3 linked regions of the Xenopus tropicalis genome follow. The protein of the gene in region 2 purifies or fractionates together with the protein of the main gene of each other region. This does not show direct contact. Links are inferred from orthologs where the notes say so. Each region holds a gene or a part of one and is shown on either strand. Other genes may lie near its edges.

Region 1 (3,657 bases), on a different chromosome or scaffold from region 2:
TTGATTTGCCTTATGAAATGGTTTTTGTTATTTGTTAATTAAATTACCAGTCCACCCCACAGTGTATTACCTTTACAAAAAAAAAAATAGATTTTTTTATTTAAAAAAAAAAAAAAAAAAAGGTTATGCACTATATATATTAGATGTTACTTACCTGTTGCGCTTGTCTTGTCCTTTCCTACGCCGAGCTCTCATCTTGGCTCGGAAAAATTCATAAAGGCCATTTTGTTCCCAACCCTCACTAAACAAGGAAAGCAGATTACACATCATTGATAAATTCAGAATAAGTAGATACAATGCTTAAAAAAAAACCAGAGGATTTTTAAAAGGGATTCTCTCAAATTTTTTTTATATATAATATTGGTGTGTAGGCAGCCATCTTAGGTTACTGTGCCTGATTCTGGACTTTTAGAAAGAGCCAAAAGTACAAAATAGAACTGATAAGCTATTGTTTCTCCAACTGAATGTAACTGAAGGAGTCATAACAGGTGAGCAGGACTTGGATATTCACTACTAAATGCATTCTGACATCTAACACTAGGTGAGGCATGGGGCATTTTTAGAAATGCAGGTGTCAGGAAGCTTCTATCTTGTTACCTGCCCATTGTTCTGTTGGGGGTGGAAGGCAGGTGGGGGGTATCACTCCAACAAAGAGTACAGCAGTAAAGAGATACTAAAGTTTATTAGAGCACGTGGCTGAGAGCACCTAGAAAACTAAAAACATATCTAGCCCCATGTCAAAATTAATTAAATATATATATATACTTTTGAAAAACAGATTTTAATGTAGGACTCTGTTGAGGAGAGCTATTAACTGATGTGTTTTATAAAAACAGAACTAGCAGGCACCATCTTCTGAATCTTTGTGTTCTCTTACGATCAGTTCGGCAACACGGAGCACTAGCAGTTAAAGATACTCCGGGATTACCTTTAACTATGCATGGGCCAGCAAGCTCCGTGTCGCTCCTACTTTCTTCATAAACACATAGGGTGTCATAGGGTATGTCATTCTACCCACACTAGACATAAGCAGAGCATAGAATCCAAGCTGTATATTTTATAAATAAACTTACTATGTTTCAATGTTTAAAAAAAAAAAAAAAAAACAGAATCCCTTTAATGATGAACATTTTCATTGTTTTCCACTTAATTAATAAGTCTCTGCAACAAGAAAATTGCAGCTAAATAAGTAATATATATTATAGTGATTACATGATGTTTTTCATAATTTGTCTGGGACTCTTGTATTTTGAAATGGGGATGTGAACGCTTTACTTTTGGCACCCCAGTGCAACCTTAGTGTGTGGAACATTTGAATTTGTGCCTGAGCTTTGTCCAGTATTATACAGACACTGCTAAATTAGCTTTCTCTCTGCCAAAAACTTCTTACTTAAAAGATATACACTTTATGCATTCTAAAAGCAAGTAACACCTCTGTTCTTATCCTGGAAGGAATGGTTTTCCCAGATGATTTGAGGATAAAAGTCTAAATATCTGGACTTAGAGTAGTAGGGTTTTAGGGTAGTAGCATTCAACATCTTGCTGTGCTGTCTCCATTCCTGTGCTAATAATTTATGTAACTGAACCTGTATTAAATATCTATGCTTTACCCTGTTCATTGAACAAAGGAATACATTTTTTATAATATATTACGAGCCTGAAGATTATTATACCCCTAGACACACAAGTGAGTCAGCACTTATATTAGTTGTTGTATACTGGTAAATCTGTAAGCAGTAGCCTAACACTTCCTACATAAGGTATTGCTGGAACTGACTCTACACCTGTTACGAGGTCTGTCATGTGAAGGAGGACTGTAAAATGCCTCAACAGCAGCCAAGAGCCTCTCACTTGGGGGCATTGGAGGAGGAAGTCGAATATCCTTAGGGTCCAGGGGTTTGTATTCATGATCTTCCAACTGCAAAAGAGGTCATCAGAGATGCAGGGTGAAGATGCATACTTTGCAAAAGGATTTACATTCCACTTCCACGCTCTTTTCTGTGTAACAGGACATTAACTCAATGCATAACCTTCAATTGTAATGGCACACAGACTTCTAGCCTTTTGTTACTCCAAAACTCCATCCCACCCCCCCTTCAAAGCAAATGGGAATCACAATAATTCATGCTTGGTGATGACTGCGTATTACTCAATAATGGACAACCCTGCAATATTTAGCACATTGCAAAGCGACATACACAAGAAATCTACTTAGTCATAAACAGACTAGTGATTTAGCAAATACAATACCAGCCAATTTTCAGTTCTTCTACAAAGCTAATAAAGATTTTCCCAAGGAAAAAAACTCACTTTAACTAAAGGGGCCATCAGACCAGCCGGTAAGTCAAAGTATGGTACATTGGGGACCAGGCTGGGGTCATCATGGTTAATGTGTGGAGGACCCTGTCTGCGCATGTGAGGGGGCTGTCCATTGAACCCATGAGGTGGAGGGCCAAAGTCTGGGTGTTGTGGTCCCCCCCACGGAGGATGTTCATTCATGTTGGGGTGTGGCATTCTGTGACCTTGGTGATGATGAGGTGGGCCCATATCTAGAAGACAAAATAATACTACAGATAAGATCGCTTTAACAGGAACAGACATTTGCACATTCATATCTAATGTCTACCTAAAAGAGAAGCAGATGTAATAAAATATAAAGCTGGCAAGGTATTGTATTACAGCTGAGACTAGAACAGACTCCAAGAAGAAGCTACTACCATACTGACTGAGGTGAACCAACACTTAAATCAGTGAGGTGGAGAAGCTCATAAGTTTTCGTCTGCACACTATCTACATGCTAAATATATCATGTTTAAGGGCTTTAGATGGCCTTTTATCTACTTTAAAATCAATGCTAGGTCCTGTTTCTTACCAATTCCTATTTTACGGTGCATATGGATATTGCATAAATAATATGCTAACTATTGGAAATTACCTGCAGGGAAATCCCCCTGGGGAAAATCAAATCGATGTGGGAAAGGTGGCCTTTCAAAAGGGTGCCGTGGTGGAAATTCTTCCTGCATGAAGTGTGGGGGGAACCGATTAAAGTTATGGGGATGCGGAGGTTGGTTGAATTGAGGTGGGTGCTGTTGATGAGGTGGAAAGGGGCCTCGGAAGTGTGGTGGACGCTGCATGCGAAAGTGGGGATCCCTCTGCCCACCACCACCACCGCCGCCGCCGCCACCACCACCACCACCACCACCACCACCCCCCCCCCATGGAGGCTGCTCATGCTGGTTGCTCCAAGGAGCATCAAACTGATTATTCCATGGGGGCTCTCGCTGATTGTTCCAAGCTGGCTCAGGCTCGTTGTTCCAATTGGGGTCACGCTGCTCGTTCCACATGCCTTCGTGACTGTTGCTCCATGGTGGACAGTGAGGAGGTGCTGGGTGGTGAGGAAATGGTGGTTGTTCACAAGGCTAAAAATTGAAAACATTATTTAAATATTAAATTTGTATCTCTTCACAATGCCCTGCGAACGTTTGTAATTCTGTAAAACAGACACTCTTTATATAGCAATTACATTTACAAACAATTTTAAAATCAACGGAAATGACTAATTTCTTAAAAGGGTTGTTTGTCTTTACAATAACTTTTAGTATGACAAAGACATTGATATTTAAGACAATTTGCAATTGGTTTTCATTTTATTTCAGT
Region 2 (3,657 bases):
TCGTGAGTGCCTGTTGCAGCATTGAAGATTTATAGATATATATATATATATCATCACATTGTGTGTAACATCTTGATTAAGTTCCCAGACCAGGACCGAATCGTCAATTTGATGTATTTTTATAATGGACATTAATGGAGTGCGCAGTACTTTCGGTGAGAGATATCTAATACAACTATATGCAGCACCCAACCATGTGAGAGTTTTGATGTTTAAAGAGAGTGCAAACAATTTGAAATAGATATATATATTTGTCCCTGAGGAAGAGCACAGATTGTGCTCGAAACGTTGGAATTTTTTCAATAAAACCACTTTTTCTTTTGTATCAAGTCCCTGTGTGCGGCACTCTTTCTACTATATTTTTGTTTTTTGACCTGCACCAAGGGCATTTGGACTTGTATAGGGTGTGCTCCTCCCTGTATAATTATATATATATATATATATATATATATATATATATATATATATATATATATATATATATATATATATATATATATATATATATATATATTTGCTATTACCCTCAGATTGTAAGCTCTTTTGGGCAGGGCCCTCTTCCCCTCTTGTATCGGTTACTGATTGCTTTATATGTTACTCTGTATGTCCAATGTATGTAACCCACTTATTGTACAGCGCTGCGGAATATGTTGGCGCTTTATAAATAAATGTTAATGTAATGTAACCCTCTCTAACGACACATTTCTCACCTGAGGATTGATATTCCCAAGATATAAATTAGTGGTGCTTGGATCTCCAACATCATGTGACCCAGGTGCATAATCATCAAGGGCTGAAATAAAAAGAAATAAGAATTTGTTACAGGGTTAAAACAAATGATATCATCAATTTAATTTAAAGTAAACATGTTACCACCAGAAGATCTGCTTCTTCGTGAAGATGGTGTGTCCACTGTACAAGAAAAAAAATATAAGTTATTGCAACAGCAAAATCATAATTTTGTAGTAATTAGTTGAACCCAATACATTGTAAAGGTGAGAAGAAAATACATTTCTACTGTATAGAGCTTTTGCTAGTATAGAACATTTGCTAGTACTTATTCTAATAATTAGGGCTTATTCTCATGAGGGGGTCATCATGAATTTTGAAAATTACTCACACAGCAATTCCCACACATTTTCAAGATGAAAGGTGACAATAAATGTGCTTACAATTTAAAAAAAAAGGAGTTTTTCAGCCATTTCTTAAATATTTCAGGGAATAATACCCTGTGCATGCCACAGCTATTAAGCTATTGGCTCACAGTGTATTCTACATTGATATTTATTAGCCAGTGTAAATCATCAACACTGATTTCATGCAAACTGGTCAGTGGTCAGCCACGAATTTGCTGGTGGCAGGCTGTATCCACTGAACTAATGACAGGCTCCTCAGCCAAATGATCTTTACAGGTATGGAGGTGATCATATAAAAGTAATAGTGTATGGTGCACGTGAAGGGAACAGATCTCTCCAAATTATTACTTTATTACCTTTGACTAGAAGCACAATCGAAGTACAAATGGTTATCATTCAGAAACGCACCCGTTGTTCCAGATGACAATAAAAGTCACTTGCTTTTTATTTAAAAACACCATCATTGAGGCAACAATAAATGAGCTTGTGCTAACAGTCCCGCACCAGGAGAAGACTACCAGTCACAGGTCTGCCCTTAAACAAGGTTTAATGAACTGCAGTTCCCCGACAGGTCCATTTAGCTACTAGTTGTCCTTCTACTAGGCAGCAGTGACATATTTCTAAATTTAATGCCAAATATGTATCTTTGTAGAACTGGAACAGAAAAAAAAAACCCTCCAGGCCAGTGGCGTACCTAGATGTTACTGGACCCTATTGCGAATTCAATTTACGGCCCCCATAACGTTAGTAAATTGACCTTTTCTACCAAGATATTTTGAAATTTCTCATTTATTTAGGGCCCTTCTGGCTCCAGGCTTGAAATATTTACACTATAAAACATGAAAGTATATACATAACACATAATATTTGCTTAGGAGCCCCCTGCAGCAAAAGGGGGAAAGTGCAAGTGTACAGTGGAGAAGAATTTACTTACTTAATCTCCGTTGTGTATCTGTGTCAGTTTGAGGGGGTTCAAATCTGCTTGTTCTACCTTTAGTTTTGTGACGTTCATCCCTCTCCTCCTGGATTCTGTCATGAATTAACATTTGGTTACAATAAATGCTTCTACTACAATTAGTATCCCAACTGTAAATATTTTACCAATATTGTGGGTGCATGGCATACAAAATTATTCAAAACCAATATACAAGTTTCAGCTAAATCAAATAAAAATTAAAGAATGAAATTAACACAAACAAGATTCCTTTGGACCTGTAATTAGCACCAAATAAAAGCTGCTGTTCATCAAATGTTAAAACGTTAGGCTGATGCCACACGTGGCGTTTTTACGCTGCGTTTTTTTTTCAGCCGAAAAACGCCGCACAAGCCACACAGCCCCTGACTATGGCGTTTTTCAGCCTAGTACTGGTGACGTAGCAAATCCCTTTCCCATGGTGCTAATAGTGCAAAATAGTAAAAAACGCAGCGTATTTCAGCTAGGTCTGGCAGCTGCTTTTGTGTATACATAGGAATAGCTTGCTGTGCAAATGTACTGGCGTATTTCAGCCAACGCTTAAAAAATCCGTGCTAAGGCGTTTTCTAGCGTATGTACGCATTGTGTGGTTTGCCTCAAGTCTTTTCAAGTTATTTCTATGGATGATGATATCGGGCGTTTTTCAGCCGCTGAGATAATTAGAAAATACGCAGCATAAAAACGCCACGTGTGGCATCAGCCTTAACTAAACAGCAATTGTTTATGTTAGCAGAATATGCCAGTGCAAATATTAAGCTGTGTGATTGTGCATCTGCACATATTCATGATACACTAGTAAAGTAAAAAACACAAGGTTCCTGAAACACAACATTATACAGTTTTCTGCATTCAAGTATTGTTTGTGCCATTTGTCTAACTTTTTTGAAGAAAACTTTGGGGCAATGATTTAGTGTGAGCATGAAAACACAGTGGTATGCTATATTGGCAATGATTTTTCCTTATTGTGTCTATATGTTGGGTTCATAGGTGCTGGTTCATTATACATGCTCATTATATATGTTTTTAGAAATGTTATTTGCCAGTTTTGCTAAATATGTTTAAAGGGGTTGTTCAACTTTGAGTTAACTTTTAGTATGTTGTAGTGAGCTATTCTGAGCCAACTGCAATTGGTCTTCATTTTTTATTATTCGTGGTTTTTTTTTTTTTAATTATTCAGCTTTTTGTTCAACAGCTCTCCAGTTTAGAATGTTAGCAACAATCTAGTTGTTAGGGTCCAAATTAATTTAATTCCATATGAATAGGAGAGGACCAGAATAATAATATAAGTTATATAAAGTAACAACATTAAAACTGTAGCCTCACAGAGCAATATTTTTTGGCTGCTGGGGTCACTGACCCCAATTTGAAAGCTGCAAAGAGGGCAAATAATTAAAAAAAATAGTTAGAACTGACAATTCTATAACATACTAAAAATTAACTTAAGGGTAAGAACCGCTCCAAAGAGGCTTTCCACCAGCAACAATAGGAGTCGCCTGCGGAAAGCCCTTTGCATCGCTTCGGTACTCTGAAGCCATGCAAAGTTTTCGC
Region 3 (3,757 bases), on a different chromosome or scaffold from region 2:
ACTTAAGGAAACTTGAATACTTAAAGCAACTCTGCACAAATCTACTTACCCATCCATTATTACCATCGATATTAGAAGACTATCCAAAAGCTTTGTCAACAGGCTTCAAGGCCTACACATATTTCATTATCTGATTAACAGTAGATAAATACTGAACATGATAAATGTCAATAGCACCGTCTCTTAACTGGCTTTAGGCTAATGTCCCAAGAAGAGATTAGCTGCCCACAATAAATCTCTGGTACCACAGGCGACTAATCTCCCCAAAATGCCTGCAGGAGGAAAGTTTGCGCGACTTCGGAAAATGATTGATGAGTGATGCGTATGCCTTTCTCCACGGGTGCAGAGATTTATCGTGGGCAACTAATCTCTATGTAGAGCATTAGCCTTAATGACACTTTCTAAAAAGCCATCATTATTCCATTTCACCATAATATCTTTCAATTCTTGATTCTAAATAGAATACAAGGAACCATGGAGGGGCTCCTCCCTAATGCTGACAATGTGCTACCAATTAGTGCTAAAATAAGTAATGGGCTATCACCCAAGCACAAAAATATACTTGGGTGATACCCATTACTTATTTTATCCCTAATTGGTAGCAAATTGTCAGCATTAGGTAAGGGGCCCCTTCTTGTATCCTTGTATTCCATTTAGAATCAAGAATTGAAAGATATTATGTATCCAATTCGTGTTTTTATGGGAAAGGGAAATACTTTTTTAAAGATATTATATAAAATTTGATGTGTCATCTTATCTATAAGATTTTTTCATGCAATGTCTGATAGTGGCCTTATAACTACCAGGGAAATGGTTTAATTGGTTTCATAAAGGTTATATGATTTGGGATGTACATATTTCAGCTGGAGAATGGACATTAAAATATTAAACTTAACTCCTCCTGCTGCTCAGGGCTTCATCCCCTGCCTACCTACCTCAACACTTCTGTTAAACTGCCAAAATTTTTATGCAGTGTTAAACCCATGTCTTGATTGTGCTAAACACCAGAAAATTTCCACACTATGTTTAGCAATACTATCACCACTTCCATGAAACTGTGAACCAGGCTTGTTTGTTTTTAAGAATAAAAGAGGCACATAGGCCCAAGGTAAAAGAACAGCGATTTCTTTTACTGGAGGATGCCTAACAAACTGATACACTCCTGTGTGCAGTTTTGCTAGTCCTTTAAATTAGTACATAACTGCAAATTTAAAAACATTTATTTGAAAACTATCTACAACAAGAATATATTTTAGGAGGCACCTTGCTACGAAGCTTGCGGTTTTGTCCACTATATTTCGGACTTCTGGAGGAGGGTAAATAATTCCAACAACAGGCTTGGATGGAACTACCTCTTCTTTCTTCTCCTCCTCCATCTGCTGCAAAAAAAAAAAAAACAAACAAAATAATATAAACAAAGTGATAAACATAATGACAAATTAATGTGCAGAAAATATAAATAAAAATGTATCTTGGCCCATCACACATATAATGAAAAATAATTGCCACACTGTCTAAGATTTAACTGCACTGTATTACAAATATATGTTTAAAAAACATAAAATAACAGCAGATGCCTCAGACAAAGACACCTCAGAGACTGGAAAATGTTCAAAGGGGCAGTATAACCTGTCACAGGCTTGAATGTTCATTAGCAGAAAAATACAATATCATCTAAAATTTGTCAGATCTCTGGCTTACATTATAGTTCGGGGTAAGGAATATGCAGTGCAGAAACAGCCCTTACCAACAAGCTGCAGCATCTCACTCCAGGGAAGACTTGAAATTTAAGGCCCATCCAATGCCCTACAGACTTGCTTTATATTGACTATTACTTGTAAACACAAATGTTATTGAAAACTCTACCTGAGTGGCTGCTCGCATTCTCTGCGTTTCTGGTTCTGACTCTTGAAACAATACGACAGAAGTCAGCTAAATTAGAACTTCTGATACAATGTTTAGAGTCAAAACAAATACCACTTGTAGCTGCAATTATATTTACAAATAACGTCTAACATTTCTTTAAATACACTGTACAGTTGCTTCTTTCATTTTCTATCATTATGCAAGTGTTTTTGCTTAAAGATCCCCATAGAGCATAGTTCTGCACGTCTACCCTACACCCCACCCCAGGCAACGCTCTGCGAACCTTAGCTCTATAACTATTTAACTATTTCAGCTTTAGACCCACTGCTTTAACTGCTTACGATGAACCTGTTTTATTTACTCAGAGAAATAGACTAGACAGATCATTACTCCACATGACCAAGGCCTACTCTTTTTCATAAATCCCTGAATAATCGGAGAACCTCTATCTCCCTCTGCCGCGATGCAGAGTCCCGTACCTGGCCTCCGTCCGGTGTCTGCGGCGCCATTATCTGCACTGGTCCGGCCGGCATGGTGCCCACTCCAATCCCACAAACAAGGACAGAAGCGGTAACTTCGGCAGACGAGCAAAATGGCGGCTGCGCAGAATCAAGGTAGGCGTCTCGTGGATAATCCCAGCTGAGTGTTATTATTTACAGCGTTCCGCCTGCAAAAACGTAGCATACATAGTCTTTATCTTAAGTCAATAGAAACAACTACAGAATCTAACTGTACATATTTCCTTTTTTTTAGTCTAATGCCATAGCGTGTAAGCGCGTCACTTCCTACCCCCCTTTTTTGTTGAATGGTATATTCCAGGATGTAACTTGCACACTGCGTTGCGGAACCACGTTGATTTTCCACTCAGACGCTCTGAGTGCGTGGTTGCCATGGAGTTGGCTTCGGCGTCAGATAGTTGAGACGTAGACCTAAATGTATGGCATGGAAGAAACCTGAAAGGACGTTGCCAGCGCATTCGGTTATCCTCATAGCCTCGGTACCGCGAAGTTTATACAGGGGCAAAAGTTTTTTTTTTATGCCACACGGAGGGGGGGGTTTAAGGCATGCGAACGATTGAAAGAGCCGCAGCTAACGTATGCAGTCCCTAAATTAGGTAGGTGTTTTATTAGCAGCAATGCAATGAAATCAACTAGAGAGGTACATTTCCTGAAGAAAATGTGAGTGGTGCTTGCCGTGGCAAAACTCGTGCCCCAATATTACAATGTTTCCTTCAGTTCGGTTAATTGCCCCCTGCTGGGGCAATTTACCGCCCACCCCCTAGAAAAGCCATTGCACCCCATTCCCGAATAAGCCGCATGGTTTGACACCTCATTCATGGGTCTACGACAAACGTGGTTAATTGCCCCCTGCTGGGGCAATTATCCGCCCACCCCTCAGAAAAGTCATTGCACCCCATTCCCGAATAAGCCGCATGGTTTGAAACCTCATTCATGGGTCTACAACAAACGGTGCGGGACTCATTCAAATTTGGTCTCAATGTTAAGTCTATGGGCGGATAATTGCCCCTTGCTGGGGCAATTAACCGCCCACCCCTCAGAAAAGTCATAGCACCCCATTCCTGAATAAGCCGCACGGTTTGACACCTCATTCATGGGTCTACGACAAACTAATTATTTGCCAAAATCCCCATTATAAGTCAATGGGGCAAATTTGAGGACCTCTCTTGCCCCGGGGGTAAAACATATACCCTTGTGCGGGGTATCTTCTGACACAGGTTGCAAACCTCTTCAAATGTGGTAAATTTCATGTTTCTAAAAAATTCCCTCTCTGCGCTACAATCCGTCAAAGTTGGCCTCAATGTTAAGTCTATGGGATTTTTGGGCCAGTTAATTGCCCCCTGCAGGGGCAATTAACCGCCAACCCCTTAGAA

Evidence for each region.
Region 1: the proteins of u2surp (region 2) and cherp purify together in Homo sapiens (affinity purification with mass spectrometry; 4 studies listed by BioGRID and IntAct, with this or other methods). This does not show direct contact. The link is inferred for Xenopus tropicalis from reciprocal best matches to the Homo sapiens genes U2SURP and CHERP.
Region 3: the proteins of u2surp (region 2) and sf3a1 purify together in Homo sapiens (affinity purification with mass spectrometry; 4 studies listed by BioGRID and IntAct, with this or other methods). This does not show direct contact. The link is inferred for Xenopus tropicalis from reciprocal best matches to the Homo sapiens genes U2SURP and SF3A1.

Annotation. Positions count from the first base shown.
Region 1 is NC_030677.2:112,300,141-112,303,797, reverse strand, and holds part of cherp (calcium homeostasis endoplasmic reticulum protein), read right to left. Parts: intron 3,420-3,657; coding exon 2,936-3,419; intron 2,550-2,935; coding exon 2,311-2,549; intron 1,919-2,310; coding exon 1,785-1,918; intron 242-1,784; coding exon 155-241; intron 1-154. UniProt on the Homo sapiens protein: Involved in calcium homeostasis, growth and proliferation.
Region 2 is NC_030681.2:119,895,749-119,899,405, reverse strand, and holds part of u2surp (U2 snRNP-associated SURP motif-containing protein), read right to left. Parts: intron 2,166-3,657; coding exon 2,071-2,165; intron 913-2,070; coding exon 877-912; coding exon of another isoform or gene 874-876; intron 794-873; coding exon 711-793; intron 1-710.
Region 3 is NC_030677.2:144,334,760-144,338,516, reverse strand, and holds the start of sf3a1 (splicing factor 3A subunit 1), read right to left. Parts: upstream 2,749-3,757; 5' UTR 2,656-2,748; intron 2,643-2,655; exon of another isoform or gene 2,534-2,642; 5' UTR 2,400-2,533; coding exon 2,310-2,399; intron 1,380-2,309; coding exon 1,264-1,379; intron 1-1,263. UniProt on the Homo sapiens protein: Component of the 17S U2 SnRNP complex of the spliceosome, a large ribonucleoprotein complex that removes introns from transcribed pre-mRNAs.